Saccharomyces cerevisiae S288C: one gene and its partners. The main gene of each other region encodes a partner of the protein of the gene in region 3 in a complex. Each region holds a gene or a part of one and is shown on either strand. Other genes may lie near its edges. A codon is read from its position in the direction of its gene.

The links.
Region 1: the proteins of NKP1 (region 3) and AME1 are in contact, whole or in part, in a cryo-EM structure (PDB 6QLE), measured with the Saccharomyces cerevisiae proteins. Residues at the interface, in NP_010671.4 of Saccharomyces cerevisiae: Tyr5 (codon at 5,068), Ser21 (codon at 5,020), Asn36 (codon at 4,975), Arg40 (codon at 4,963), Lys51 (codon at 4,930), Arg56 (codon at 4,915), Gly57 (codon at 4,912), Leu61 (codon at 4,900), Lys64 (codon at 4,891), Ile159 (codon at 4,606), Ser162 (codon at 4,597), Lys163 (codon at 4,594), Ser169 (codon at 4,576), Gln170 (codon at 4,573), Ser173 (codon at 4,564), Ile174 (codon at 4,561), Leu177 (codon at 4,552), Ser180 (codon at 4,543), Ile181 (codon at 4,540), Glu183 (codon at 4,534), Ala184 (codon at 4,531), Tyr193 (codon at 4,504), Phe194 (codon at 4,501), Tyr197 (codon at 4,492), Lys200 (codon at 4,483), Leu201 (codon at 4,480), Ala204 (codon at 4,471), Leu205 (codon at 4,468), Glu207 (codon at 4,462), Leu211 (codon at 4,450); in NP_009770.3 of Saccharomyces cerevisiae: Leu175 (codon at 2,673), Arg176 (codon at 2,670), Gln179 (codon at 2,661), Asp183 (codon at 2,649), Arg187 (codon at 2,637), Lys190 (codon at 2,628), Asp191 (codon at 2,625), Asp194 (codon at 2,616), Ile195 (codon at 2,613), Ser198 (codon at 2,604), Glu201 (codon at 2,595), Leu202 (codon at 2,592), Gln205 (codon at 2,583), Ser282 (codon at 2,352), Ile283 (codon at 2,349), Arg284 (codon at 2,346), Asp285 (codon at 2,343), Asn288 (codon at 2,334), Ile289 (codon at 2,331), Ile292 (codon at 2,322), Phe295 (codon at 2,313), Val296 (codon at 2,310), Leu298 (codon at 2,304), Met299 (codon at 2,301), Pro301 (codon at 2,295), Tyr302 (codon at 2,292), Leu305 (codon at 2,283), Leu306 (codon at 2,280), Lys308 (codon at 2,274), Ile309 (codon at 2,271).
Region 2: the proteins of NKP1 (region 3) and NKP2 are in contact, whole or in part, in a cryo-EM structure (PDB 6QLF), measured with the Saccharomyces cerevisiae proteins. Residues at the interface, in NP_010671.4 of Saccharomyces cerevisiae: Thr2 (codon at 5,077), Asp3 (codon at 5,074), Thr4 (codon at 5,071), Ser7 (codon at 5,062), Ile8 (codon at 5,059), Phe11 (codon at 5,050), Ile12 (codon at 5,047), Glu15 (codon at 5,038), Leu16 (codon at 5,035), Thr17 (codon at 5,032), Leu19 (codon at 5,026), Leu20 (codon at 5,023), Asp24 (codon at 5,011), Ala31 (codon at 4,990), Gly32 (codon at 4,987), Leu42 (codon at 4,957), Val46 (codon at 4,945), Lys49 (codon at 4,936), Arg50 (codon at 4,933), Ala53 (codon at 4,924), Met54 (codon at 4,921), Lys58 (codon at 4,909), Gln59 (codon at 4,906), Leu62 (codon at 4,897), Glu65 (codon at 4,888), Ile66 (codon at 4,885), Asn69 (codon at 4,876), Glu70 (codon at 4,873), Leu73 (codon at 4,864), Arg74 (codon at 4,861); in NP_013419.1 of Saccharomyces cerevisiae: Ser3 (codon at 3,820), Leu6 (codon at 3,829), Leu7 (codon at 3,832), Tyr10 (codon at 3,841), Val11 (codon at 3,844), Ser14 (codon at 3,853), Leu15 (codon at 3,856), Leu16 (codon at 3,859), Leu19 (codon at 3,868), Ile20 (codon at 3,871), Trp42 (codon at 3,937), Leu46 (codon at 3,949), Val53 (codon at 3,970), Leu57 (codon at 3,982), Arg60 (codon at 3,991), Ile61 (codon at 3,994), Phe64 (codon at 4,003), Phe65 (codon at 4,006), Leu68 (codon at 4,015), Arg69 (codon at 4,018), Arg71 (codon at 4,024), Leu72 (codon at 4,027), Leu73 (codon at 4,030), Leu76 (codon at 4,039), Gln80 (codon at 4,051), His83 (codon at 4,060), Leu85 (codon at 4,066), Ser86 (codon at 4,069), Leu87 (codon at 4,072), Thr89 (codon at 4,078).
Region 4: the proteins of NKP1 (region 3) and OKP1 are in contact, whole or in part, in a cryo-EM structure (PDB 6QLF), measured with the Saccharomyces cerevisiae proteins. Residues at the interface, in NP_010671.4 of Saccharomyces cerevisiae: Thr2 (codon at 5,077), Asp3 (codon at 5,074), Tyr5 (codon at 5,068), Asn6 (codon at 5,065), Ser9 (codon at 5,056), Asn10 (codon at 5,053), Glu13 (codon at 5,044), Arg56 (codon at 4,915), Gln59 (codon at 4,906), Lys64 (codon at 4,891), Tyr67 (codon at 4,882), Ser71 (codon at 4,870), Arg74 (codon at 4,861), Gln79 (codon at 4,846), Met82 (codon at 4,837), Tyr91 (codon at 4,810), Leu118 (codon at 4,729), Gln122 (codon at 4,717), Arg147 (codon at 4,642), Lys148 (codon at 4,639), Ile151 (codon at 4,630), Leu152 (codon at 4,627), Lys153 (codon at 4,624), Gln155 (codon at 4,618), Ala156 (codon at 4,615), Gln158 (codon at 4,609), Ile159 (codon at 4,606), Gly160 (codon at 4,603), Lys163 (codon at 4,594), Ile167 (codon at 4,582); in NP_011695.1 of Saccharomyces cerevisiae: Tyr238 (codon at 1,010), Arg241 (codon at 1,001), Gln242 (codon at 998), Gln245 (codon at 989), Tyr248 (codon at 980), Ser249 (codon at 977), Leu252 (codon at 968), Gln253 (codon at 965), Glu256 (codon at 956), Ser263 (codon at 935), Arg264 (codon at 932), Asn267 (codon at 923), Leu268 (codon at 920), Glu271 (codon at 911), Ile340 (codon at 704), Lys341 (codon at 701), Ser342 (codon at 698), Thr343 (codon at 695), Ala344 (codon at 692), Val346 (codon at 686), Arg347 (codon at 683), Leu348 (codon at 680), Asp349 (codon at 677), Glu352 (codon at 668), Val353 (codon at 665), Leu356 (codon at 656), Leu357 (codon at 653), Leu360 (codon at 644), Tyr363 (codon at 635), Ser367 (codon at 623).

The regions. Positions count from the first base shown.
Region 1 is NC_001134.8:643,938-651,263, forward strand, and holds AME1 (Ame1p), read right to left. Parts: upstream 3,196-7,326; coding exon 2,221-3,195; downstream 1-2,220. Other genes in the region: ERV15 (Erv15p), read left to right, coding at 1,613-2,041; NGR1 (Ngr1p), read left to right, coding at 3,949-5,967; bifunctional precorrin-2 dehydrogenase/sirohydrochlorin ferrochelatase MET8, read left to right, coding at 6,431-7,255.
Region 2 is NC_001144.5:760,995-767,732, forward strand, and holds NKP2 (Nkp2p), read left to right. Parts: upstream 1-3,813; coding exon 3,814-4,275; downstream 4,276-6,738. Other genes in the region: SPH1 (Sph1p), read right to left, coding at 1-1,348; septin CDC3, read right to left, coding at 1,581-3,143; TAD3 (Tad3p), read right to left, coding at 4,272-5,079, 5,136-5,187, 5,256-5,364; EST2 (telomerase reverse transcriptase), read left to right, coding at 5,548-6,738. UniProt on the Saccharomyces cerevisiae protein: Component of the kinetochore, a multiprotein complex that assembles on centromeric DNA and attaches chromosomes to spindle microtubules, mediating chromosome segregation and sister chromatid segregation during meiosis and mitosis.
Region 3 is NC_001136.10:1,235,597-1,242,343, forward strand, and holds NKP1 (Nkp1p), read right to left. Parts: upstream 5,081-6,747; coding exon 4,364-5,080; downstream 1-4,363. Other genes in the region: phenylpyruvate decarboxylase ARO10, read left to right, coding at 1-529; RNA-binding protein YRA1, read left to right, coding at 962-1,246, 2,013-2,408; COI1 (Coi1p), read right to left, coding at 2,716-3,034, 3,229-3,254; ribosomal protein P2 RPP2B, read left to right, coding at 3,896-4,228; putative ammonium permease ATO3, read right to left, coding at 5,608-6,435. UniProt on the Saccharomyces cerevisiae protein: Component of the kinetochore, a multiprotein complex that assembles on centromeric DNA and attaches chromosomes to spindle microtubules, mediating chromosome segregation and sister chromatid segregation during meiosis and mitosis.
Region 4 is NC_001139.9:853,175-860,527, forward strand, and holds OKP1 (Okp1p), read right to left. Parts: upstream 1,722-7,353; coding exon 501-1,721; downstream 1-500. Other genes in the region: PBP1 (Pbp1p), read right to left, coding at 1-41; ribonucleotide-diphosphate reductase subunit RNR4, read right to left, coding at 2,090-3,127; protein translocase subunit TIM13, read left to right, coding at 5,113-5,430; QCR9 (ubiquinol--cytochrome-c reductase subunit 9), read right to left, coding at 5,889-6,086, 6,300-6,302; E3 ubiquitin-protein ligase UBR1, read right to left, coding at 6,727-7,353. UniProt on the Saccharomyces cerevisiae protein: Component of the kinetochore, a multiprotein complex that assembles on centromeric DNA and attaches chromosomes to spindle microtubules, mediating chromosome segregation and sister chromatid segregation during meiosis and mitosis.

The DNA of each region.
Region 1 (7,326 bases), on a different chromosome or scaffold from region 3:
ACCTGATATTATAGCCTTTAGCAACAACGAAATCAACATTTATCTCAAATTTCACCTGTTTCTCATTTTTAAGCGCCTAGCCCATCTAATCATCTTAACTATTCATCAGGGAAAATTAATATACATTGTGCTCTTAATGTTTCGAAAAATAATCAAAATCAATAGAAATAGCGTTTTGCTACTAACAAAGCCCTTTGATCCAAAGTTGGCTTCTGAGAACTTAACATTTCAGTAGAACAAGCCTCAAGCTTAAATGAAGAATGGCAAAGTAAATGAGACCTCTCTCTCCATATTTTGCTCAGAGCCTGTTAAGGAAAACAACACCGCACATTAGTGTGAAAAACTTTCCCCGCAAGCTGTTGGAAGATGAATCATTTATTATCTTTTGACTGTTAGCTACATTACTAGCTGTTATCAATCTCTCAGACGATTATATGAATATTGAGATAGTTGTTGGGATTAACTTATTGTTAGAGGCTATAGCATCAGATATACAAAATAAAATAAAAAGTTCTCCTCCAAGATATAGTGTAATCGATATTTCGATGTAATGCCATCATTATTTCTTCTATTTTATGTATTCCTATTGTCCTCTAACATTGTATCTGATAATATTCTAGTAATAGGATTACCATCACTAAATGATAGTTAATTCTCATTCCAAAACCGACTCCTGTCAATATTGAGGACCCATTTATTCCAACGGTCCAAATCCCCAATATTCCCTGCTCGGCAAGAAGTTAGAAAACATATCTTTCGTGCTCTTGCAGGCTTGCTGTATTATCATAACCGAAGGATGACCAACTTTGATCACCCCAGGTGGCAAAAACATAATACATGGTGGTGGTGTCGTTGTAAAAATCATCTTCTTTGGGTGTGTATAGGATCCCATCCAACACACGTGTTAAAATGACATCAGGTATCAATGCTAATCCGTCGTCACTGACAATAAGCTGAGTTGACATCACCTGATGATGTGAAATAGTAGCAAGAGAACTAGGGTAAGGTTCATGCTGGTTGTTTTCCTATGATGACCAACCTTTGGAATTGGGTAATTCTAGGTGTAGCCTGCTAGCCATCAAACGAGACCTTTCAAAATCTTCAGTCATTACATTTTCTTCTGTAAATAGGGAAAAAAGCCTTTAGCTAGGATTGTTCGGCAATAGAAAGCCCTCCAGTTTAAACTTGACATAGAAAATCTTTAAGGTTAAATCAAACATAAGTTATTATCCGATATAGTGTAACGGCTATCACATCACGCTTTCACCGTGGAGACCGGGGTTCGACTCCCCGTATCGGAGTTATTTTTTGTTTCTATACCATTATTTTTCTTGAATGTTGCATTATGATAGTATAGTTTTGCTATACAAACTTCAATTCTCAAAACACAGTACGTCTAGCTCACTACTACTCTCTCTAATTCAAAATCGTTCACTTCTATCGAAAGCTGTGATAATTTGGAAATATTGTCGTGGGCCACGAATGATTTTTCAATTACATTGCTAAATACGAAGACATTAATACCTTTATTCATATAAGCACTTTCATTATCATTTTTTACTAAAGATAAAACTAACTGCAGGCACCAAGAAGTTCGAAGCCAAGAGTAAAGATGTCAGGAACCGGATTATCGCTATTCGTGACGGGTCTTATACTGAATTGTTTGAATTCCATTTGCCAGATATACTTTACTATATTATATGGTGATCTTGAAGCAGACTATATCAACTCAATCGAACTGTGTAAGAGGGTGAATAGGTTGAGTGTACCAGAGGCAATTCTACAAGCTTTCATTTCTGCATTGTTTCTTTTTAACGGGTACTGGTTCGTATTTCTCTTGAATGTCCCTGTTCTAGCATATAACGCAAGTAAAGTCTACAAGAAAACACATCTACTGGACGCCACGGATATTTTCAGAAAATTGGGTAGATGCAAAATTGAATGCTTTTTAAAATTGGGATTTTACCTTCTCATATTCTTTTTCTACTTCTACAGAATGGTCACAGCGTTACTTGAAAATGATGCAAATTTGATAAGCTAATAGCGACAACAGGAAAAAAAAAGAGAGATTTGTGCATATCTATGAAGTATGTCTACCACATAAAAATGACCTTATAACACAACTTCCTTAGTATGGAAGTAATACATATATACATATATACATATATACATACATATATATATATATATATATATATATACATCTTTTGAACCAATTCCCTATAGACTTGGTTGTAATTCGTTAGAAAGATTTTCATTAATTTTATTTATCTTTTTCAGAAGTCCGTTATATGGATCCATCAAGTCTACGAAATGTGCAATATCCAGAATATTTGAGTCATCCCGTATTGAATCGTCCTCGCTATCTTGGCTCATAATTTTGCGATCTCCCTCGTATTTGCCTAGCAAAGTAGAAGTCAAATCATTTAGCCTCTTATTTAGCTTCACTTTGTCGTTCAGTTTGGCTTGTTCATTTTGTAAGTCATGCCAGTCTTTACCGGCTTTCAACTCTTGAATTTCATTTCGTACCGATATTATCTGCTGGTTCAAATCTTCTTTTCGAGCAAGTACCTGCTTCAGTTGGTAGCAGAGCTCATTATTCGACACGTTGATATCTAATATGTCTTTCAAGTCTCTGGTCATTTGGTCTGATATCGTTTGAAAGAGTCGCAGATCTAATTTGTACAATAGTTTCCTAAATTGATCATCATCACTTTTATTGAAATCCTTCAAAGCTTGCGGAATCAAATCATTTTCAAATAAGTTTATGAATAAAGAAGATAAAACATCAATTGTGGTCACAGAAGTGATAGACGATGATAGCTGTCTAATGGGTATATCATCGAAATTGTAACGAGTAGTAAGGTCTTCATCATTTCTAACATTTTGCGGCGATTCGCTTATAAGACTTTTATTTTCAGAGTCGATCATGGGATAGTCTTCTGCATCCAAGGGCTGATACCCATGTTCATGACGGTCCTGCGCATTTACGTTATTAGTGGTAATAGGAAACTCGAAAGAATTCGCAAGTTTTGGTGAAGACAAAATGGGTTGAACAGGAGATTGAATAGGTGAGTTCTCCTCTCTATAAACAGCATTTGGCGTCTTAAATACAATAACATCATCATCTATATCGTCTGTCCTTCTTGAATGACTGCCCCTCAGCCTAAAAGCTAATTTAGTGTCTCTATCCATACTGAGGTTTTTCTTTAAATGAACACGCAAATAGTCAAGACAATACAGAGCAACACAGGACACGTAAAAAAATGAGAGCAATCGCTTCTTATACTGCAACGATGTTGACCCTTGCCATAATAGCTAATGAAATCAATCATTATCATTTCTACTAGTCCTTTAACAATATTTGGATACACCATTAAATTTCTCCGTACAACACGATAAAATATTTTCTACCAGCTTCAAACGGCTGTGAAGGGGCGATAGTGCCGTTCCAAAAAGCGTTCCCCAAACTTGTATTCAAGACCAAATCTTAGTCAAGCAAGCAGTTTCGCACCTTCATACACTCCATTAAAAGTGAAAATAAGCATATTTGTAATTAAATCTGGTTATCATACCCTGTTCCCTTTAGAACCAATATACATAGACGCAGTCGACAAAGAAGCAATAAAAGAGATTACCATTCTTATTCACTATTTTTTTTTTTCTCTGACTCTTCATAGTTGTACGGAAAACCATCTGCGTGTTATATCCTAGTTCCAAATATTCTGATTTCTCGTGATCGAATCTGTTATATTGTCATATATTGTAATTCCATTTTTTTCCCGGTTCATTTTTTGATATTCTCTTCCTGTTCCAATATTAATAAAGGAGGCTTTTTTCTTTCCCTTTCGTTCTGATTTATATTGTTTTTACTATTATTGGATCTTTTAAATATTACAGCTTTTTCATATCCTTCGCCATCGATTTTTGCCTGAAAAATTTACACAAATGATGTCTAACGTTGCTAACGCCTCCCAAAGACAGGAAAATCCATATATTATTCCATTGCCTCCTTCATCCACAGTGGAAACTTCTACTGAACCCCCAAGAACGTTATGGATGGGAGATTTGGATCCGTCCTTCGACGAGGCCACGATTGAGGAGATATGGTCAAAACTGGATAAAAAAGTTATCGTTAAACTAATTAGAGCCAAAAAAAATTTGTTGATTCCTTGTAGCTCCACCTCAAGTAGTAATAACAACACAAGTGAGGAGAATGCTGAAAACCAGCAATCTGCATCAAACAGCACTGATCAGTTAGATAATTCCCAAATGATTAATATTAATGGAATATCCTTCATTGATCCTTCCACTACTCAATTACATCATGCCGGATACTGTTTTGTCGAATTTGAAACTCAAAAGGACGCTAAATTTGCCCTGTCATTAAATGCTACACCTTTACCTAATTTTTATTCCCCAACAACTAACTCCCAAACTAATCCAACGTTCAAAAGGACTTTCAGATTGAATTGGGCGTCTGGAGCTACTTTACAAAGTTCTATACCATCTACCCCAGAATTTTCCTTGTTTGTTGGTGATCTTTCTCCCACCGCCACTGAAGCTGATTTGTTATCTCTTTTCCAAACGAGGTTCAAATCTGTTAAAACCGTCCGCGTGATGACTGACCCTTTAACAGGATCATCTCGTTGTTTTGGATTTGTCAGATTCGGTGATGAAGATGAGCGCCGCAGGGCACTGATTGAGATGAGTGGGAAATGGTTTCAAGGAAGGGCCTTAAGAGTCGCTTATGCCACGCCAAGAAATAATATGATGCTGCAGTTACAGGAACAACAACAACAGCAACAACAATTGCAGCAACAGCATCAGCAGCTAGATCAGGAGGATAATAATGGCCCTCTCTTGATTAAGACTGCAAATAATCTCATTCAAAACAATAGCAACATGCTTCCTCTCAATGCCTTGCATAACGCGCCTCCAATGCATTTGAATGAGGGCGGCATTTCAAACATGCGTGTAAATGATTCACTACCTTCAAACACCTATAATACAGACCCCACTAATACTACTGTTTTTGTGGGAGGACTGGTACCAAAAACTACCGAATTTCAATTACGTTCACTATTCAAACCCTTTGGACCCATTCTAAATGTCAGGATTCCCAATGGTAAAAACTGTGGGTTTGTTAAATTCGAGAAGAGGATTGATGCTGAAGCTTCAATACAAGGCCTGCAAGGCTTTATTGTGGGCGGCAGTCCAATAAGATTATCATGGGGACGCCCATCCAGTTCAAATGCTAAAACAAATTCGACCATCATGGGGGCAAGCCAATATATGTCCTCAAATGGCCTGAGAGCGCCATCTGCGGCTTCTTCAGTCGATAACTCCAAACAAATTCTTGAACAATATGCGGAAGATAAAAGGCGACTCTTTTTACATCAGCAGCAGCAGCAGCAGCAGCAGCAGCAACAGGATGGTAACTTTTCTATGGAGCAAATGGCGCACAACAACTATTACAACTACAATAATTACGATTATCACAGGAACAAGAATGGCAGCCATAGCGACCTCGTTAATCTGCAGAGATCTAATGTCCCGTATATGCAAGAAGACGGTGCACTGTACCCACACCAATATTCAAGTCCCTCATACTCGCTCCATCCGACGGGCAACCAATTCTCCAATGCTACTAATAACTTACCTCAATTTGGGAACGCGATGTCAATTTCTATGCAACTGCCCAATGGCAACAGCAATAAAACGGCCTCAAGCATGAACACAAACCCTAACACAAACATGATCATGAATTCTAACATGAACATGAACATGAACGTAAATCCAGTACCATACGGAATGGGAAACGGTGCAAATATGTATGACGTGTCCAGGATGATGACTCCTCCCTTAAATATAGCCCCGAATTCCAATAATTCGAAATCGAGCATCATGAACAAGCATCCTAATAGGAACAATGTTCCGCCAATTCATCCTTCTCTTCTACATTGATTACAAAAGACAAAAAAAGAAAATTTTAATCTTGTCCGCAGTTTTATCTGCGTCTCTACGTTCTTACGTTTCTTCTATTAATGCCATTTCAGTTACAACCTAGTCAATTGTCGATCCATAATTCTAATCAAATTTGTTTTTCCTCTATACTACCTATCTATTTTTATCTATCTAAGTACATTTATTTACTCAAACAGTTCCGTTTCAAAGTGTTTTATATTAACTATATATGCGAAAAGCTGGCGTCATAATTTCACGTGTTATAATAGCCATGCTGACGGAAAAAAAATGTGAAAATCGCTACAAAGTCCGATGACTACGGGCAGTAGCATGTAAATGATGGACACACACACACACATATATATATATATACATTTACTTCAATAAAAGGCTGTGCCAGACATTTTTGCCATACATTGTTCATGAAGTGTGCAAAATAAGAGAGTGTATAATAGGATAAAAAATGGTCAAATCGCTACAGCTAGCCCATCAATTAAAAGACAAGAAAATACTACTAATCGGAGGCGGAGAAGTCGGCTTGACAAGGTTATATAAGCTGATACCTACAGGTTGCAAGCTGACTTTAGTATCTCCTGACCTACACAAATCCATTATTCCGAAGTTTGGAAAATTCATCCAGAACGAGGATCAGCCCGACTACAGAGAAGACGCTAAACGCTTTATCAATCCGAACTGGGACCCCACGAAGAATGAAATTTACGAGTACATCCGCAGTGACTTCAAAGACGAATACCTCGACCTAGAAGACGAGAACGACGCGTGGTACATAATAATGACCTGTATACCCGACCACCCTGAAAGCGCAAGAATATATCACCTTTGTAAGGAAAGATTCGGTAAGCAGCAGCTGGTCAATGTGGCGGACAAACCTGATCTCTGTGACTTTTATTTCGGCGCCAACCTGGAGATAGGAGACCGTCTACAGATTCTGATCTCTACCAACGGCCTTTCTCCGCGCTTTGGCGCTCTAGTAAGAGATGAGATCCGTAACTTATTCACACAAATGGGGGATCTGGCGCTGGAGGACGCTGTCGTCAAACTAGGTGAGCTGAGAAGAGGAATTAGGCTGCTGGCACCAGACGACAAGGATGTCAAGTACCGCATGGATTGGGCCAGACGCTGCACAGACCTCTTCGGCATTCAGCACTGCCACAACATCGACGTAAAACGTCTGCTGGATCTTTTCAAGGTCATGTTTCAAGAACAGAACTGTTCCTTGCAGTTCCCTCCCAGAGAACGGTTGCTTAGCGAGTACTGCTCGTCTTGAGCGACAGGGCCTCCTCTTTTAAGGGGCGCGTCCTTTCTATTGTGTAGAGAAAATCTACTGGGATTTTGTAT
Region 2 (6,738 bases), on a different chromosome or scaffold from region 3:
CATACGGCTTCGCCGTTTCTGCCACTGGTTTAGTGATAACTTTCTTCGGAGGTGATGCCTGATAATCCTGCCGAAATTTACCAATTAGCGGCAATGTGTTACCTTGAGGACTTGGACTTCTCGAGTTCGAGACAACTTTCAGAGGCAAACCTTCTCGCGGAGATGGCTCACTCGTAATTCTTGAAGAATTCTTAGTGTTTTTTAACGGCGACACAGACGCTAAGTTTGTTTCTCCAGATGTATTATTTCGTACCTTCCCACTCTCTCGAATAGAAGATTCAGATTTTTCTATGATGGAAATTGATGGCGATGCTACAACCACTGGCATGTCCGATTTTTTTGTAATGGGCTTACCAGAGGATGGAAAACTAACAGCAGTACTACCGCTATCACCCAGAGATGATATATCCTTACCGTTTTTCTCATTTTTCACTTTTTCAATAATCTTCAACGGTTTCATACCTGCCTCGATATCACTGAGTTCTCCTTCATTGCGTGATATATCATCACGTGAGGTGGATTTGATCTTCACAATCTGAGCAATATTGCAGAACGCAAAAATCACTTCCGAAATAGATGATTGAGCTACAATTCGTGGTATTAGGTCCCCATATGTGAGAAAATATCTTGTTGAAGTGATAGCATGAGATAAAGCACTCTTTAAGTATACTATTTCGTTTTCTAAAGAACTTTGCAGTGAAACTGATGATAGGACAGGTAAGAGATCGCCTATCAACTTTGCTATCTTAATTATAGTCTCAAGCAGAATCGGCAGGCGTGTGGTGGTGGTATCCACAGGATCAATTCGATGGAGCGTGTTTTGAAAATAAAGTGTAAATTGAGTTTTTAATTCTCGGAAGACTTCAATGGATATAATACCATTCACGCTCATAAAATCATCGTTTATTTTGAAGGATTCAAATAATGTGTCATTTAAATAGAAATTTAGATCACCCTCGTCTAACCCATTGTTATGCGTCCCCATATCCAAATGATGTAAGTTTCTCCTTTCAATTTCCGTGAAAATATCAAGAATCAATTTATGGAACTTCGCGTCCTTCAATCGAGACAGTTTAGATTGTGCTTTACCTCTTTTCAGATCAAGATCATTTAGTGATGCATCCGCACCCGAATCTGTCAATCTTTTCATCAATTCATCGTTGACATCAGTCGTCAGTTGCCAAAATTGTACATTCGACAATTTTGTCAGGTCTTTATTTCTATTTTGGCGGTTTTGGTTCCTTCTTCTATCATCTTCTGGTACAGAGGCCTCTATAATTCTTTTGAAATTCTTATAATCCGATATAAGGTCTATGATTTGATCATTCGTTAATTCTGAGCTAATCATTCTTTTTATTTCGTTATGGCCACATTATGATATTCTTTTACTTTACTGTTTTAATTTTATATTCTGCGATTCAAATCATAACAGATATTTAGTTGAATAACTCTGTTTTTCTTCATTTCCATTTTTTTCTATTTACCCTTCTTCTTTTTATTTTACGCGTCTCGCGTTTTATATATTAATAGTAATAATATTTAATAGTGTATGTTTGAAATTTTTATATGTCTTTATTTCGCTAACGTAAAAATCCCTTCTTCTTTGTAGGGACGGGGGAGTGGTTAACATTGGGAGAAGCACTATTTATTGAAAGTTCTAGCTGTTTTTTCTTGTCCTCCAAAGCTTTTAATTGTTTAGTTAATTTTTCCTTCATTTCTTTATGTCTAGCAAACAATTCAGTTTCTGATTTTTGTAGTTTTTTCTCCTTTTCGGAAACTTTTTGTTGGAAAACTGTTTTCATTTCAATTTCTAGTTTGGCTAGTTTTGCCTCATGTAAAGTTTTTTCTTCTTGTTGTTTAGATATTGGATCGAACTCTTTGAAAACTGAATTATCTTGCTTAATACCAAGTTTTGCCAATTTAGAAGACCTGTAGTTTTCGTATAGTATCTTGCTTGTCCTTTCCTTTAATTCCTCCATGAATTGCTTGATCAATAAATTTTTCAAAAGGTTGAAATCAGAGTGGTTGTCATTGTCCACTTCGATCACCCCCCATGGATAGGAACGGCCTCTCACTTGATTACCACTGTAGTTCTCTACAATATCGTTGGAACCAATAACAGCATAAGGTAAACTACTAAATAGTCTTTCGGATAAATGGCTATTTTCTGCATCATCGTTGGAATAAATTGGAGGCTTGAACAGCTCGATATTAGATTGGATTAACTGGTTCATAATGGTCTTCTTGAAACTTAAGATCTCTTCATCAGTTAAGATGTCAGATTTAGCAATGACAGGAATCAAGTTACATTTTTCATATACAGATTGCATAAACTTCAGGTCCAGGGGCTTTAAGTAATGTCCTGTAGGTTCAATGAAATAAAGACATGCATGGATTCTTTTATCGTTTATTGAATGTCTGTTGATTTTGTTCTCCGCATCCAAGTATTGATCAAAACGAGAGTCAATCTCCTTAATGATCGGGTCCCATGATTTTTGATCATTATTTAAAAAATCACCAAATCCTTCAGTATCGATCACGTTCAAATTCAGTTTAACACCATTTTCTTCAATAACCGACTCATATGACTTAATTTTGACCTTGTGCCTTTGTTCTTGTGATTGGTTCTCGTGACCCTCGCCCTGACCCTCCTCTTCTTCCTGATCATTTGCAAGTTCCTCCTCGTAATCTTTCACTAAATTGGCCTCAATATCATCATTATTAAATAAAGTTTTCATTAAAGTTGTCTTACCAATACCATCAGGGCCGACACATAGGAGATTGAAACTGAATCCGTTCTTTATGGACCTTCTGTGCCATTGCTTGGGCAAATTAGCAAACCCTACATAACCATTGATTTGACGACGAATGAACTTAATCTCCGGTTGGTCAGGCAGAACTTGACCCTTTTCGCTCTGAGAGGAGGTGATGCCCATACCGAGGCCGGGTTCCACCTTTACATCGGATTCAGCTGCCTCAAATCTCTCGCTGTCGTCATTTTGCGTACCGTTCGTGTACTGCGAGTCCACTCCATCATGATCCTGCGACTCTTGTTTGATCTGAACATCATTGAATTGATCATGCTGACGCTCTTCTTGTTCCGGGTCCTGCTTAATGGACACTTGTTCCTCCTTTAAACTCATGGCAACGTATTATAGGCCGATGTAATCGTTCAGTTGTCGTGTGATCCTGGATTTGATATTTTCTTGATCTGCTTTCCTCGAGAGATTTTAACTTAATACACAAAACAACACAAAACGCAATTCCTAAAACCGAGACAAAAAATGGCAAAAAATGGGAAGCGAAAACACGCCCCCACCATATCATTACACACGTAGATCATAAAAGACGAAAATACTAAATTAGCCGCCCAGGTGGTTCCTTTTTACGAAAGGAAGGAAGGAGAAATCTAGAGGTGCTGCTATATATGTTTGCAAGGTGCGAGAATATTCTGTCACAATTATCAAGCAGCAAGTTATATAAAGTTGTTTCTCACAGCTTCTTGCACTCCCTTGCGGTGCCTTTCCTGCACCACTAGTGTAACTGCTGATGTCTTCCATTTGATGTCAGAATCGATTTCTTGTTACGCCACGAACAGTTAATATATAGAATTAAAGGAATGATCTTGTACAACTACAAGATAACAATAGATTAACAGCCAATATTACCGTCGCCGCTGCCCGCTTCGCGGAGAAACAGCGAAAAACAACGAAGATCGTTCTCGAAAAAGCCCAAAAGCTGGGTATAACGCAACAAAATAATCATAGATTTGACAATTGTGCTCCCAATCTTGCTTTGAAATTACCATTATAAATGAACTCTGAACAGCTGCTGCATAACTATGTTTCGGATTCGCTACTCACTACTCTGATAAGTTTTCAAGAGTTCAAGCAGCAACTACAGTCGTACACGAGCGACGAGCAACAACTGCAACATTGGTACGAATTGCTTCAGGCCAGGGATGCGCGAGTGACCTCTGAGTTAGAAGCACGAATCAAGCAGTTTTTCATAACGTTGCGCTCTAGATTACTGCGATTTCTGGAAAGCGAGCAACTATCACACTCCCTTAGCCTCGAGACACTGATCGACGCGCTGTACAAGATTAATGACCTGTTGCAACAGCGTTTGCAGATTCTGGATGATGCTATTCAGGAAAAGACCTCGGAACTAGCAGAATTTGAAAATATGGTTCGCTCACCGAGTGCAGGAGACAATGCCATTCCTGGCCTATTACAAATTATACAATCTTATATTAATCTATTAGAGGAAAACTAGCAGCAGACATCCCGGTCAACCTGCCCCACAGGATATTCCTCGCCGATCCATTGAAAGGCTTCGTATGTTGAGTTTAGCTGTTTGTTATCGTTCATGCAGTACCCGTCACCACTCGTTAATTTTAAGCTCCCGGTGCGCTGCATCTCTGTAAGGAAGACCACTCGTCTCACACGAGAATGGATCAGGGCCATGGAGCACATTGAGCACGGCTCATGGGTCAAATAGACGTCGTAATCAAGACACAGATAAGAGTTTGCGTCTTCGTCTACACCCTCCCTGAGTCTTTCGCCTACCGCACGGATGCCCACCATTACACTGTGGTCGATGGGTAGCGAGTTTTCGCAGTTTCTGCCATCTTCTGCCACCACTTTGTCCTTCTTTCTTGATGGGTCAACAAAGACGCTCACCATTGGAAACTGTTTTCCTGCCGTTGCCATCTTCACAGACAACGTCGACGCACGCGATAGCTCATTTCGTACTTCCTGCATGTCTATTTTATAGTCGTTCAATATTTGATCATTGGGGTTGCCGTTCCAAATCAACGGCCAGTACTTCACAGACCAGGCATTGTTCAGTTCCTTTGTGCTGGGCGCAAACTCAGGCACTTCGATATCATCACTCAGTTCATACTTTTTCGTTCCAACCCAAATACTCTTCAATTTATTGTTTATTTCACCTTCGTCGCAAATATACTCTTTCGAACACAACACCACTTCCAAGGTGGAGGTCTCGATGTCCTTGCGGATCCTTTTCAAATGTCTCAATGAAACAGGGTCATTTTTCTGAAAATCGTTTCGAATTAGCCTACTTTACTAGTTAGTTTACTTCCATGAATACAAAAGCAAAAATCATATACATACTCTATTACTTTCTTCGAGTCTCTTGGATCTATTCTTATACTCCATACATTGACTGCACTTATATATGTTTGAAAGTTAGTTAATTGATCCTGATTTCTGTTAGATCTCATAGATACATACTTAGTTTGGGCGTATTTACATCTTTGAAATTTCTAATTTGCAGAAGCCGATTTTCTATTATCCCGTTCTGATAATCGATTTTTAGCGGATTATTAACTTTCTTAACCATAACTAACACGCCCTCATGAATATTATCCTTCTGAGGTTTGAATAATATATACCTTTAGATGAGCTATTGGTGATTCGCATTTAGGAATGAAAAAAAGTAAAGCATGGCAATGAATGACACAAGTGAAATAGAAAAGTGAAAAATTAAAAAAAAAAAAAAAAAAAAAAAAACTGATTTATACTCATGAAAATCTTATTCGAGTTCATTCAAGACAAGCTTGACATTGATCTACAGACCAACAGTACTTACAAAGAAAATTTAAAATGTGGTCACTTCAATGGCCTCGATGAAATTCTAACTACGTGTTTCGCACTACCAAATTCAAGAAAAATAGCATTACCATGCCTTCCTGGTGACTTAAGCCACAAAGCAGTCATTGATCACTGCATCATTTACCTGTTGACGGGCGAATTATACAACAACGTACTAACATTTGGCTATAAAATAGCTAGAAATGAAGATGTCAACAATAGTCTTTTTTGCCATTCTGCAAATGTTAACGTTACGTTACTGAAAGGCGCTGCTTGGAAAATGTTCCACAGTTTGGTCGGTACATACGCATTCGTTGATTTATTGATCAATTATACAGTAATTCAATTTAATGGGCAGTTTTTCACTCAAATCGTGGGTAACAGATGTAACGAACCTCATCTGCCGCCCAAATGGGCTCAACGATCATCCTCATCATCCGCAACTGCTGCGCAAATCAAACAACTTACAGAACCAGTGACAAATAAACAATTCTTACACAAGCTCAATATAAATTCCTCTTCTTTTTTTCCTTATAGCAAGATCCTTCCTTCATCATCATCTATCAAAAAGCTAACTGACTTGAGAGAAGCTATTTTTCCCACAAATTTGGTTAAAATTCCTCAGAGACTAAAGGTACGAATTAATTTGACGCTGCAAAAGCTATTAAAGAGACATAAGCGTTTGAATTACGTTTCTATTTTGAATAGTATTTGCCCACCATTGGAAGGGACCGTATTGGACTTGTCGCATTTGAGTAGGCAATCACCAAAGGAACGAGTCTTGAAATTTATCATTGTTATTTTACAGAAGTTATTACCCCAAGAAATGTTTGGCTCAAAGAAAAATAAAGGAAAAATTATCAAGAATCTAAATCTTTTATTAAGTTTACCCTTAAATGGCTATTTACCATTTGATAGTTTGTTGAAAAAGTTAAGATTAAAGGATTTTCGGTGGTTGTTCATTTCTGATATTTGGTTCACCAAGCACAATTTTGAAAACTTGAATCAATTGGCGATTTGTTTCATTTCCTGGCTATTTAGACAACTAATTCCCAAAATTATACAGACTTTTTTTTACTGCACCGAAATATCTTCTACAGTGACAATTGTTTACTTTAGACAT
Region 3 (6,747 bases):
AAAATATATATCGCAAGGATTTTTCCTTTCCATTGGCATGGCCCTTCCTGCCGCCCTAGGTGTTGGAATTGCCATGCAAGACCACTCAAACGCTCACATCAATGGTGGCAACGTAAAAGAGGACTATAAGCCAAGATTAATTTTGTTTGAAGGTGACGGTGCAGCACAGATGACAATCCAAGAACTGAGCACCATTCTGAAGTGCAATATTCCACTAGAAGTTATCATTTGGAACAATAACGGCTACACTATTGAAAGAGCCATCATGGGCCCTACCAGGTCGTATAACGACGTTATGTCTTGGAAATGGACCAAACTATTTGAAGCATTCGGAGACTTCGACGGAAAGTATACTAATAGCACTCTCATTCAATGTCCCTCTAAATTAGCACTGAAATTGGAGGAGCTTAAGAATTCAAACAAAAGAAGCGGGATAGAACTTTTAGAAGTCAAATTAGGCGAATTGGATTTCCCCGAACAGCTAAAGTGCATGGTTGAAGCAGCGGCACTTAAAAGAAATAAAAAATAGAAACTTGTGGGCGCAATTATAAAACACTGCTACCAATTGTTCGTTTTCTGTTCATTAACACATAAAAAACCCTTATGTAACTATATTTACAAAGTAAATACGTATATTAAAGCTATTTTACCACTACCACAGAGTTCTTTGTCCAGTTGCTAGTATTTTTTTTTTCGCGACGAGGCAGGGGCGGGGAGACGTGTTGTTTTTCCACGGCTTTCGGCTCACCACTTGAAGAACTATAAAAGGCCGCCAAATTTATCCTTTTTCACTTCTTCCGTTCGCTTTTTTCTGTCATTCCTATCGTGTGTTTAGTAGTAGGTTTTTTTGTTAGAAGAAGTTTTATCCGAAAACTATCGAAGACAAATAGATAAAAAAATCTCCCTCGTTCTATTTGAAACTTTAAGAAATCCATATTAAGAAAATACCTACATCTGCTAAATGTCTGCTAACTTAGATAAATCCTTAGACGAAATCATTGGCTCTAACAAAGCAGGAAGTAATAGAGCCCGTGTCGGTGGTACTCGTGGTAACGGTCCAAGAAGAGTTGGTAAGCAAGTTGGTAGCCAACGTAGGAGCCTTCCAAACAGAAGAGGCCCTATCAGAAAAAATACTAGGGCACCTCCAAACGCAGTCGCTAGAGTTGCCAAGCTCTTGGACACCACTAGAGAGGTCAAGGTCAACGTCGAAGGTTTGCCAAGGGACATTAAGCAGGATGCTGTAAGAGTATGTTAATACGTGAAATGAGAGCTATTTGTTTAGTTACTCGCATCGTCTCGTGTGGATACGAGAAATATTCTTTGTAAGGAAGGATATGGCACACGCTTTTGATCAAGAATTCTCTTTTTAGAGATGAAGAAAGAGTCCGAAATACTTCGCTAGAGAAAATACAAAAAGAGTATCGTTTTCATAAGCCAACCATACCAATTTTTTTCAATACTTCAAATCATGGCCTATAAGGTTGGAATTACCAGCTACCACTGAGAATGGGTTTGTTCTTATTGGCTGGGTTAACTCAAATCAATCTGACTATCTGCTAATCTGTCAATCTTACATTTTTAAGCTGGCGTATTGTGTCGCCTCGACCGTGATAGTTAGTTCCTATTTTTAATAAGCGTATCATCCAATACTGAAGTTGTGGAAGGATCAATTAATTTTGTATCCTTTCAAGAGGGAGTAGCTTTCAGTTTCGAATGGCACCATTTTCAAAAAATAGCTATGGGAAACATGTCTTTCATGAACGTTCGAAAAGATATGAGTGCATCGCTTCATTTTTTTATTATGATAGTTACAAAAATATTTGATTTGAGACACCTAATGAAACCAAAGAGGAACTCACCCATCGTGGTACATGTTTATTTGAGGGTTTATTTTTCCTACGCAATGGTATACTTTTAATACTCTCAACTCCTTGATTGTTTGTGTATTGTCCCTTCCTTCTTTGATTTTATATCATAGAGATATATGACTAACTTTTTTTTTTTTATTATAGGAATTTTTTGCATCTCAAGTAGGTGGTGTTCAAAGAGTTTTGTTGAGTTATAACGAAAGGGGCCAATCTACTGGTATGGCTAACATCACATTCAAAAACGGTGAATTGGCCAGAAGGGCTGTTGAAAGATTTAACGGCTCTCCAATCGATGGAGGCAGATCAAGATTGAGACTTAACCTAATCGTTGATCCAAACCAACGCCCAGTCAAAAGTTTAGCCGACAGGATCAAGGCTATGCCACAAAAAGGCGGAAACGCTCCAAGACCAGTAAAGAGGGGTCCAAATAGAAAAGCTGCTATGGCAAAATCCCAAAACAAACCAAAGAGAGAAAAGCCTGCTAAGAAAAGTCTTGAAGATCTGGACAAGGAAATGGCGGACTATTTCGAAAAGAAATAATTAATTGTCAATTTTTTGTTTGATTTAATTTGGTTTTATTAAATTTAATTTTTCCGAGTTTCATTATGTATTAGTTTCCAGAAAATTTAAAGGATTAAAAAATGTATTAATAAAACTTTGATATGTTTATGTAATAATATTTACCACCGCCACTAGGTGACGCTAACCTACTCATCGGTGACGGCTTTTCTCACTTTTAAAGTTTATTCGGCATATTTGACTCATAATATGTCACTATTTACAGTGCGATGAATATATATATACATAATACTGCATTGAAAAAATGGATAGGTTGATTAAACGTGTGTTACTCGTTTCTCCTCCTATCTAAAAAACCTAATTTGTCACCTCTTTTTCTTGTTACAGCACTAAGCCCGCTACCTTCATATTTACTCTTTCTTACTAATTGATGGTCCTCAGAGCAATCAATGTTGTCTCCTCCATCTTTAGGTATGGGGAACCCTGGTTTGACTTGAGCAAGGTTATCATAATAGTTTTTTTCATTCACTTCACCATTGTTTCCCCGCGCCTTTGGTATAAATTTAGCATCTCTTCTAGCTTTCACTATGGTCTTGACCACATAAATAGACGCAATCCCGGCTGCAGAAATGTATAGTAAATTCTTACTGTTGAAATCGCATTGGTAGTGTTTTCCTACTTTCGTCTTCACTTTGGTTATATATATGGTGCAATCAAACTCTGCTTCAAGGGATAGGCCAATAAGGAAATAACCAAAAAAGAAGTCCGGGAAATAGAAAAAGATATCCAATGTTAGTTTAGGCTTTACGAATAGATGTTTCCCTATTTCTTTTACACATACCCTATATTTTGAAATGGATTTGACATTGTATACTTAGTACGGCTCAAAGAATGAAATATTACTATATTTATCTCTTCATCTGCCTTGATTTTTTTATATGCAAGCAGGACGCTCGGGTTTGTAAGGAGGAAGATTGAAAAGGATGTCTTCAACTAAAAGGCGAAGAAGGAAGCGACACATTTGTGATGCTTTGAGGTCAGTAATGTAATATATATATATATATATATATATATATATTATATAGTGTAACTGCTCTTATTTATCTTGTCTATTCGAACCCAACAAAAAAGGCTGCAGTGGGAATCTGTTCATGTGGCTGTATCACAACCAAGGGCTACCGTTTAAGAATACTGGAGAGCTCTTGTCGTCTCTAATTTTATGATCACGTGCCCATTCTAGTCATTACGCAGGTAATGCGAAAATTACAGTATGGATCGTGTAAAGTTACCAAGCAGAAAAATTGTAATAATTTTCTTTTTCCAAATTTTCTCGGTATCTGAAATTTTTCATTTAAGAGATGATATTTGGACTTACTCTAAACTATTACTTTACGTATCTTTGATTTAACTTCCAGTTACAGATCGTTAAGGAATAGTCCGCGAATTTATTACCGCTTAAACTGATTATTTCAAATATAGAAAGTAATATCTATTAATCAACAACAGAAATGAAATACTTAGCTGCTTACTTATTATTGGTTCAAGGTGGTAACGCTGCCCCATCCGCCGCTGACATCAAGGCCGTCGTCGAATCTGTCGGTGCTGAAGTCGATGAAGCCAGAATCAACGAATTGTTGTCCTCTTTGGAAGGTAAGGGCTCTTTGGAAGAAATCATCGCTGAAGGTCAAAAGAAGTTCGCTACTGTTCCAACTGGTGGTGCTTCTTCTGCTGCTGCCGGTGCTGCCGGTGCTGCTGCCGGTGGTGATGCTGCTGAAGAAGAAAAGGAAGAAGAAGCTAAGGAAGAATCTGATGATGACATGGGTTTTGGTTTATTCGATTAAGGAATTTAATTAATAAACAATTTTCTTGTTTTCCTTCATTTTACAAAATCTGGTGTAAATCCTCGATTCCATTGTGATTTAAAAATAATTAATTACTGTATAAGATTCTATATAGACAATTAATTGAAAATAGTATTACTTCTTTAACTCGCTTAGGATTTTTTTTATTTTTTCTCTCTTTTCCGGAGAATTGCCAAATGTTTTCACGGCCTCTTCCAATAATAGCTTCATTTCTTCCAACGCAACTACTAGTTTCCCATTGTAAGTGGCGAAGTACTCGCTGATATCATCATCTTCAGAAGCTTCTTTAATGGAAGTTGTTAAAGAATTTATAGAATTTGTTTGGCTCAGAATATCTGATAATTTACTTTCGCCTATTTGGAGAGCCTGACATTTCAGTATTAAATCTTTCCTTAAATTACTATACTCGCTTAGAACTTTGAGATCATTTTCCACTTCAACTTCCTCTTCGTCTGCTACTTCCATCTGCGGCAGCTTCAACACATCTTCAATTAATCTCTCTATCGATGTACTCTGAGGTTCACCCTCAACTCTATTTCTTAGTTCACTTCCAAGAGAGTACTTTGGTATGTCTCCAACAAGTTCCATTATCTGCTGCGATTGACTGGCTCTCAATTCAGACTCGTTATCGTATATCTCTTTGCTCAGTAAGTCTTGTTTTCCCCTGCTCATGGCATCCTTTCTCTTTTCAATTACTTGAGCCTTTAGTAATCTGCACACTTCATTTGGTAATTCGCCTGCTAGGTCATCCATGAGGTAGTCATCACTCGACAGCAGTGCGGTCAATTCATTTTCTATAAAATTGGATATGCTATTATATGTGTCTGTCATCTTATTCCTACAATCTATTGTTGCTTTAGTTTCTGTGCACATTTACCAAAAATATTTCTTCGCATGTAGATTTACCTCTTTTCCCCTGTGACGCGTCATCGTTTTTATATCACCTTTGAACAAAGCAATATATCTGTACTCAAAAGGTACAAACGAAAGTTTTGTTCACGAGAAAGAGATATTTTACATGCGAATTAAATCTTGATTGCCTGAATTCTTCACTATTTTATGATTTTTCCCTTCCTTCTTGAAATTTGATTTATATTTAGTCCAAATATTACAGAAAAAAAAAAAAAAGATGCCTAAGCCTTGGGTCTTATTTCGAACAAATCCATCCATCGGTAACAATTCAAAAAAAGAATATTTCGTCTCGAACAATTTGCTAAGTATTGTGGGTAAATGATATATAAATTTTTATAAAAACTCTTGGCCAAGAAAAAAAAAAAAGACTATGTCTAAACGTAACGTTATCATTATTATTAAATCATTTTAATGTTTTATAAGTTTTGTTTTTCATTTCATACCCTTTAAGGAGCATTTGGCATTGTGTGCGCCCTGAAGGCTAAATAAGAATTTGAAGGACTCACCACAGAACAGTATAGCGAATACCAACCGCAGCAACTACTTAAAATTCCAAAATAGCCACCGGCCATTTTGAGATTGTTGTTGTCAATGAAGGTGCCGATACACAGTAGTAGGAAGGTAAGATCCAAAAACGTCAATAGTAAGAACAAACCCCACGTGCTCTTCAATGTACACATCAACATCAAGAAGGTGAAAACGGTCCAGCCCGCAAGGAAGAACCCAATGACATTGTTCAACATTGTGGGATCGGTATAGCCGCTGACCAAATTATCAGTATCTGTTAGCCCATAACCGTAGCAGATCCAGAACCCGCCGAAAGAACTGAACACAGTCATGGCGTATGTGTCCCCAATGACAAAACACAATAACCCGGCAAACAATTCAATGGCACCACCAAAAAACATAAACAAACTTAGCGCCCATTTACCATCAGTGACGCCGCGAACGTTCGCATTAATTAGCGACAGAACTAGACATGACAGAGAAAACGATGCGAGACCCAAAGGAACCGGATTAGCGAACTGGTGCGGAGTATACTTTGCACAGTTTCCTTCCTCCCCATCCCCTCTGTCTAGTGCATTGAGCAAATCTCTGCGCCTGTAGGTGGAGGATCCTAGAGTAATGAAGTCTCTGTCGGAGTATATCTCTTGAATATTAGGGAAGCCCTGCGAAACGCCTGCAATCGAACCCTGCTGGGGGAGCGTCTCAATATTTTCTAGAGTGTTCACACCCTTTTCCAAATCCTGTGGAGAAGAAGCAGACGATGTCATTTTAACCAGTATTTTTATTTTTTATTCTTACTAAATCTTTCTGGGAATGTATTCAGTTATATGTGACCCAACTGTTTATAAAACTGGGGGAATATTAGGCAATCAAGCGAAGCTCATCGATGAGTATTCAATTTGCTAAAAAGTTGTTTTATTTAAATATTCCTTCTGAGTCACGGTCATCGTGAATAGCGTTAAAATTCTCAAATCCATTGGTGTTTCCATTAGGCCCTGAGCGGTTCCCCAAGAAAAAAAAAAACAGTAGAAAAAAATGATGCTTCTTCCTAACGCTATTGTAGTGCAGGTTCTGCCGTG
Region 4 (7,353 bases), on a different chromosome or scaffold from region 3:
GAGTTGGTGGAGCTATCTCTTTTCCTAAAGTTTCCCTTCATATTGTTTCAATGTAATGAACTCCTTTAATTACTTCCGTGACTGAGGATGTCAGTTTTTATATCAAATCAATTTTCAAAGATTTAATTATTGCTTCCCCTTCAAGATCAATTCGGAAATAATCGAAACGTCTTCTGGAAAGAACAAAAAGAAAGATAGAAGAAAACGCGAGTGAATGACCTATATCTTCCTTAAAGATCTATGCGATGAGAGATGCCGATTTAAGAACTGCTTTACAAAAACGCAAATCTCAAGTAAAGAAAGTGCCTCCCAATTGAGCTTTCCTTCCTTCTTTATTTTTTTTTTTTTCCAGTTTTTCATAATTTGTTGTGGCTCTCCAAGGTTTTCTGAGGCTCGTTGGCGGAGAAGTTACGTAACCCGGATGCTAATAGTGCATGATTATATATCAAATATTTAGTTATATGCATCGTAATCGTAAACTCTGAAACAATGGATTATCGCTAGTGTATATCTTCTTCGGTCTTATCTTGGTGCGACTCATGGTGCGGTACAAAAACCTCTTTGATTTCTTCTTCATGTGAATCCGAAATCATTTGACCCATTGTTTCCTTAAGTTCCTTTGATTTCTTCGTATATTCTTTCAAAGAAGGTAACAACGACAGTACTTCCTCCTTATCAAGCCTCACATCGGCTGTACTTTTTATGGGGTCGTTCAACATCAGGTTCAATTCGTGGCTATCATTTCTAAAAGTTACTGGGCCATCAGGATGCATAAATCCATTAGTAGATTCTAAGCCATATGTATATTCCATTGCTTTGTTAAGTACTGGATGCAGATCTTTTTGTATTAGCTTCTCAGTGAGTCGTTTCTTGTTGTTTGTTTTTAAATTCATGCACAACTTCCTAGTTTCCTCCAAAAGGTTTTGTTCACGTGAAAGAATTGCTTCCAATCTCTCATTATTTTGTAGTTCTTGTGAATACCGGTTTTGAATAAATTGTCGCTTAGAATAAATATACTCGATGTCTAGATCTCTTTCCGATATCCTAGAGGGAAATTTGGCCTGTCTTAGCTTCTTCTTTATCTTTGTGAGGATTATTTCAAGCAAACGTTCCTTCTTAGAATATATTCTTTTAACCTCATTATTATCGCCATGCGTCATTTGGTTCATTTCCTTTTCGTACTTCTCAAAGACAGAATCAAGAGCGCTTACAGTGTTAGTCTCTAATAAACGAAGTATGGATCCTATCATTATTTTAGAAGGCTTTTTCCAATGCTTTAATTCATAATTGCGCGGCAACCTTTCTCTATACTCAGCTTGTATTACCTTCCTGAATTCCCAAGGTCGTACATTGCCCTCTCCACTTGTTGCGCTTCCATCCGATAGATGAGATTGCAATTTACCTGTACTTTCCTTGCCAACCTCAAATCGAAGTTGTTTAGATCCTTTATGATGGTATTGTCCTTCTTCTTTGTTCGTGCGCTCTTCTATTTCTCCTTCTTCAGCATCATCAGAGTTCTCATAAAAAAGCGACTTCTTTGATTGGGTGCTTTTAGCTTCTGGTGCTACGTCCAGACGTAAAGTTTTAATATCATTCACATTCATGAGAATGCTGCTATCGCTTTCAGAGGAACTTCGGTTGGGTGACAGATCCATGGCCTGGCCATTGTTAATTGAATCATTTTCAATATTTTGTAAAAAATTATCTCTATCAGCTGCCATACAGTATACGTAGCACTAGTATCGCTTGAATTATTCGTCCATAGGGTGCAAGTTACCTCATCCATTGTTGCTATGTACCTCTATCTGTATTAACTTCGAGGTAGTAAACAAATGGGTGGACCGTATTGTGACTCTCCGGGTAACAAAAATATGTTATTTAAATGAAATGACCGGGATGATGGTACTCTCTGAATCTTTCCCTTATCTACCTACAAGAAAATGGCAAATATTGTCATAATAAATATAAAAAAAAACTGTAGTTTCTTTTTAAATTTTTCTACTTAAGTTTAGTTATACTGTACCTAGGTATATATAAATATATATAAATAAAAGTGGCCAAGAATAAAAGAACGCACCCCGTCGTTGACTTAGAAGTCATCATCAAAGTTAATTTCCTTGGATGGGGTAGCGGACTTAGACATGTCACTGGCCTTTTGGTAGTCGGAAACCTTCTTTTCAAAGAAGGTGGTCTTACCAGCGGTAGCGACATCCTCCATGAATTCGAATGGGTTGACGGCGTTGTAGTATTTTTCGTTACCGAAACCTTGTAATAGACCGTCAGCGACAAATTCTATGTAGGTGTGAATGCTCTTCAAATCCATACCAAATTTTTCTACTGGCAAAGAGTTTGAGTAGTATTCCTTTTCAATTTCCACGGCTTCGGTAATGATTTTTTCAATGATCTTGGGGTTTGGCTTGGTTCTCAAATGGGCAAATAGCAAGCATGAAAAGTCAGTGTAGGCACCTCTGTCTCTACAGATGTTTCTGTTGGCCATTGCTAAACCTGGCATAATCTTTTTGTCAGTCAACCAGAACATAGAAGCATAGTTACCAGCTTGGAAAATACCTTCCTTTGCAGCAAATGCTACTAGTCTTTCAGCATACAAGCTGTCATCGTTGGAAATCCATCTCTCGATGAAAGCAGCCTTATGCTTGACTTCAGGCAAATTGGCAATTTCCTTGAATAGAGGGATGTTCTTAGGGTCCTTGAAGAAGGCATCAACCATCATGGAGTAAACTTCAGAGTAGATGTTTTCCATCATAATCTGGAACCCGTAGAAACTCTTACCTTCAGGGTTTTGCAATTGGGCAGAAAAGTTTTCGATCAAGTACTTGTTGACAAGGTTGTCAGAAGAAATGGACAAGGCTAACAAGTTACCGATGTAGGTCTTCTGGTCATCAGTCAATTTTTGGAAATCTTCAGTGTCCTTAGCCAATTCGATTTCTTCCGCAGTCCAGAAAGAGGCTTCAACCTTCTTGTAAGCAGCCCAGATTTCGTGGTATTTGATAGGGAACATCACGAATCTACGGCTGTTTTCCATCAAAAGGATTTCATCCTTTTCAGCTTCTTTCATATCATGACGTTCTTTTTGGAAAGTCTTCAAAAATTGGTTATGTGCTTCCATTGTAATAACTAATTGTGTGCGTTGCGCGGGGTTGTGTGGCTCAAAAAGATCTGTTTTTGTATTAGCAATTTTTTATTTCCCTTTTTAAATGAATTTTTTTTCTTTCTGTTTCGAGACAAGGCCTTTTGCAAAAAAAAAAAAAGTAAAAAAGTGAAATTTGATAGTGTAAGGGGACAGAGGTGGGGTCAGAAACCAATGTATCTATTGATAGTCTTTTTTTGATCGAAAAGCCAAGAGACAAAAAATGAAGAAAATGAGAGATAAGGAATGAAACTTTAGGAACATTGAAGATTCAATCGCCGTTTTTATACGCCAGAGCTTCATGAGACCAAGGAAGGAACGGACGTCGTCTACCGATTACAGTAAGCAAAGAGGATGGTGTTGCCACAACAACGCCCATCGGGAAGGCAAGAGACGCTGTGGTGAACAATAACTGCCAAAACGTGGTTCTCGCACGCTGAAAAGCGCGTTCTCGTGCGCCGCTTTCAGTGTGCTAGAACTTGCACTGTCCGGTTTCCGGTGCTTGGTGTTGGGTGGTCGTACCTGCTAGTTCCATTGGTGCGGTGTATGGGCGGGTACCCTCAAAAAGGGAAACGAAGGTAGGCGCACGGTGCTTATTAAGCTCAGAGGCGACCTCGCAGAAGGGGGCAGACCACACAAGCGGTGGAGGCGCTCCAGATATTCAGTGGAGTGGGGCTTGCTCATGTTCTGTTGTTGGTTTTGGATAGAAAAAGAGCGGGTTGAATAGTTTGCCATGGCAACCACTCTGGAAGCGAAATCACATAGACGCGTAAACACTCACACACAGGATATTCGTATAGCAAGGTACTAGTGGCGACACTCAGGTGGTCCTCGTTGCCTTATCTCCAGATTCCTCAATTTCTGTGAAACGTAAACATTATGGGAATAGTCTAGACGCGTACTTCATTTTCTTTGTTTCGTGAAAAGTACACTTTCCCGTCTTCGCCGGTTCCCTTTCTTGCCTGAAATGCTCGTTCTAATGGAAAAAAAAAGAAATAAAGGTGGGCCTGCCCATTAGCAGGAAATTGGTACTTAATTATTGAAAAAAAAATTATTGGTTGCTAAGAGATTCGAACTCTTGCATCTTACGATACCTGAGTATTCCCACAGTTAACTGCGGTCAAGATATTTCTTGAATCAGGCGCCTTAGACCGCTCGGCCAAACAACCACTTATTTGTTGAAAGCGAGCGCGGTACAAGTAATGTTACCTCATCTGATATACAATAAAGGTGGAGCGCCAATATATACGCATTTGACTGTTCATAATTCATTGAATATAATTTATTCCTTGTTAGTACAAAAGGGTTAAACAGAAAAAGACGTGACGTTGTAACCGAGAGGATGGTAACACCGCGGTATCACCCACTCGCCCAGCCGTTAAATCCAATCATCCGAATAAAATGTTTGTCCTTGCTAGTTTGTCCTGGTGATAAAAGCCATGACCACTTTTCTTGGAGCCTGCATCTGTTATCTCTCCCGTCGATAATGGACTTTGCACCGGTGTATTACCCGCAAGAATTCTGATAACGTTCAAGCTAAAACAAAACTGCTAAATGAGTTCTGAAATGGCATTTATGAGTACATATGATAGATTTGCTATGTATCAAACCTGGAACTGGCGCTAGCGCTATGGTTTCACTTCCTCATTAAACCATACCCTTGACGATTTGACAGGTCGCTACAGATTCAGAAAGAGATCATATCAATACAACAAATAAAATATAAGCGAATAAAGAGCAATGTCTTTCCCCTTTAGTCACATTACTAGCCAACGCTAATTCTTGATCTCCTTCCTCTTGTTTCCGGTGTATCTTAGTTTTCCTGGCGTTGCCGAAGAGTAAAAAAATCCTAGGTCCTAAGATTTATAAAATCGACAAAAAGAGGATTCAAGTAGGATATCTGTCAGTTCAAACCAATCAATCTTTTCTCTCCAACAACAGTTTGAGCTTATTTAATCAAGAAAATGGGTCTATCATCTATCTTTGGCGGCGGTGCACCATCACAACAAAAGGAAGCAGCCACTACTGCAAAGACAACCCCAAACCCTATAGCCAAGGAGCTGAAAAACCAAATTGCTCAAGAACTGGCTGTGGCTAATGCGACTGAATTAGTGAACAAAATTTCTGAGAACTGCTTTGAAAAATGCTTAACTTCGCCATACGCTACCAGAAACGATGCGTGCATTGACCAGTGTTTGGCTAAATATATGAGAAGTTGGAATGTCATATCAAAGGCTTACATCTCCAGAATCCAGAACGCCTCCGCTTCTGGCGAAATCTAAACACACCATCAGGATCAATTTACTGCGCAGTATGTACTCGTACTTGTATATAAGATTCAAAGGATACCAAGAAAATGCTATTACGTTTAATAACGTCGAAGAACAGTATTGCACTATACTTGCTTGGTATAGATATGTACAAAATATATGTATATACATAAAATGAGTTATTCTTTTTCCTAATTCTCTTTTTCCTTTAGTAGAATATAAAATTATAATAAGGATTTTGTGAACATCTGACAGACAGGCTCGTTCGTGTCTATTTCCATTCTGAAATTTGAATGCGCTTTGGCGAGACATAGATTTGTGTCAAAATATGAAGTTGAGTGCCTTTATGAGGTTGGGTTGAACATGAACAACCAGCCAAAATAAAAAAATAATAAATAAGACGAGTGCCACTTATATAGCTTGAGAGAGAGAGAGAGCGTTTGCACGTATATGTGTGACATAATCAGCGTTTACTCATCATCGTCGTCTCCATCGCCTGCAGCTATTCGAGCCTTGACATCTTTCCATAATTTTCCTTTGTTGTGATTCTCGTACCATGAAGTAATAGCAGTATCAAATACAGTTTGGAAAACAAAGGCACCTGCAAAGATAGTACCAACAAAAACAGCGTTTCGTTTGAAAAAGGTTTTATATAGTGATGAAAAAGACTACTCATAATTTATGCATTGTTAGTAACCTGAATGGAAACGCATGGAACATATTCATAGAGCTGCTGTCACCAATTTCATAAGCTTCGCTAAGTCGTTGCGCTCATCGGTGGGAAACTAATTTCCAAAGCCCATGATACTTGGCTAAGGAAGATTCCACGGATAACATTTTTAGCCTGAAATGTGAAGCAGCACACACACACACCAACATACCATTTTAGTCCGTATTGCTATTGTTGCTTTACGAAATTGCGAAGGATATGAAAATCAACCTTCAACGATTATTGACTATCCGTGACAGGACATTAAATACAACTGCTAAGCTAAAGTTTGAGAGGGGATGTCATTAGGGAAAGGCCCAAGGATTGAGCAGCTTTTAGGTCCTAGAATTCTTTCGGCATTGACTTCCCCGCGTTTGATTGGGTCGTGTATAATGATACATATTAACAACTGGGGAGTTCAAAAGTTGCCTTCGCTAGATAAGGAAACTTATGATAGTCACTTCGAAGTATTTGTAATTAGGTTGGTATTACTTCTTTGTTAATAATAAATAAAAGTCAATCGACGCGCAAATGTTTAATAATGTATAAGTTTTTATATACAAATATGTCAACTATAAAACATAGTAGAGGGCTTGAATCTACCAAATCTCTCGCTCATCAGAGTCATCATTATCATCAGAGTCATCCTCATCGAGGTTTCTTGGATTTGTATTTCTTATGATAGTAGCTCCATCAAATTGAGGTCCTAAGAACTGCAATATTGGTGGGGGATTCTGAGGTGCATCATCATCGCCATTTCCCTGCGGTTGTAGAGTGTTCCTAAAGTTTTCGAAGAATTGGAAAAAATCACGTACTCCGCCACCAGCAATACCTTCTGCGCCAACCCCAAATAAGTTGGCGGCCTGTCCAGTTTCATCATCAACATCCATTTCGTCATTTCCCTCCGTAAAAAACCCGTCTTCTCCCTCTTCCATATCTTCATCATCTTCATCTGTTGGAGGTATTCTTCTTGGCCTTGGTTCTCTATTAAATGCAAACAAGAAACCATTGGAAAGTATAGTCACTCGAAATTCGTCACCCATTACTCTACTAATATAACCTGGAATTTCATTGTTAATCCATAATCTGTTTAAGTGCTCATATCTTTTCAAATTCAAGGTGGTTAAATCACCTCTTCTCATGGCATTTCTACCAACTTCACCATGCGAATTTAGATATGGTGCAGATATAAAAATATTAGAAGGAGGCTGTGTCAAATGGAGACA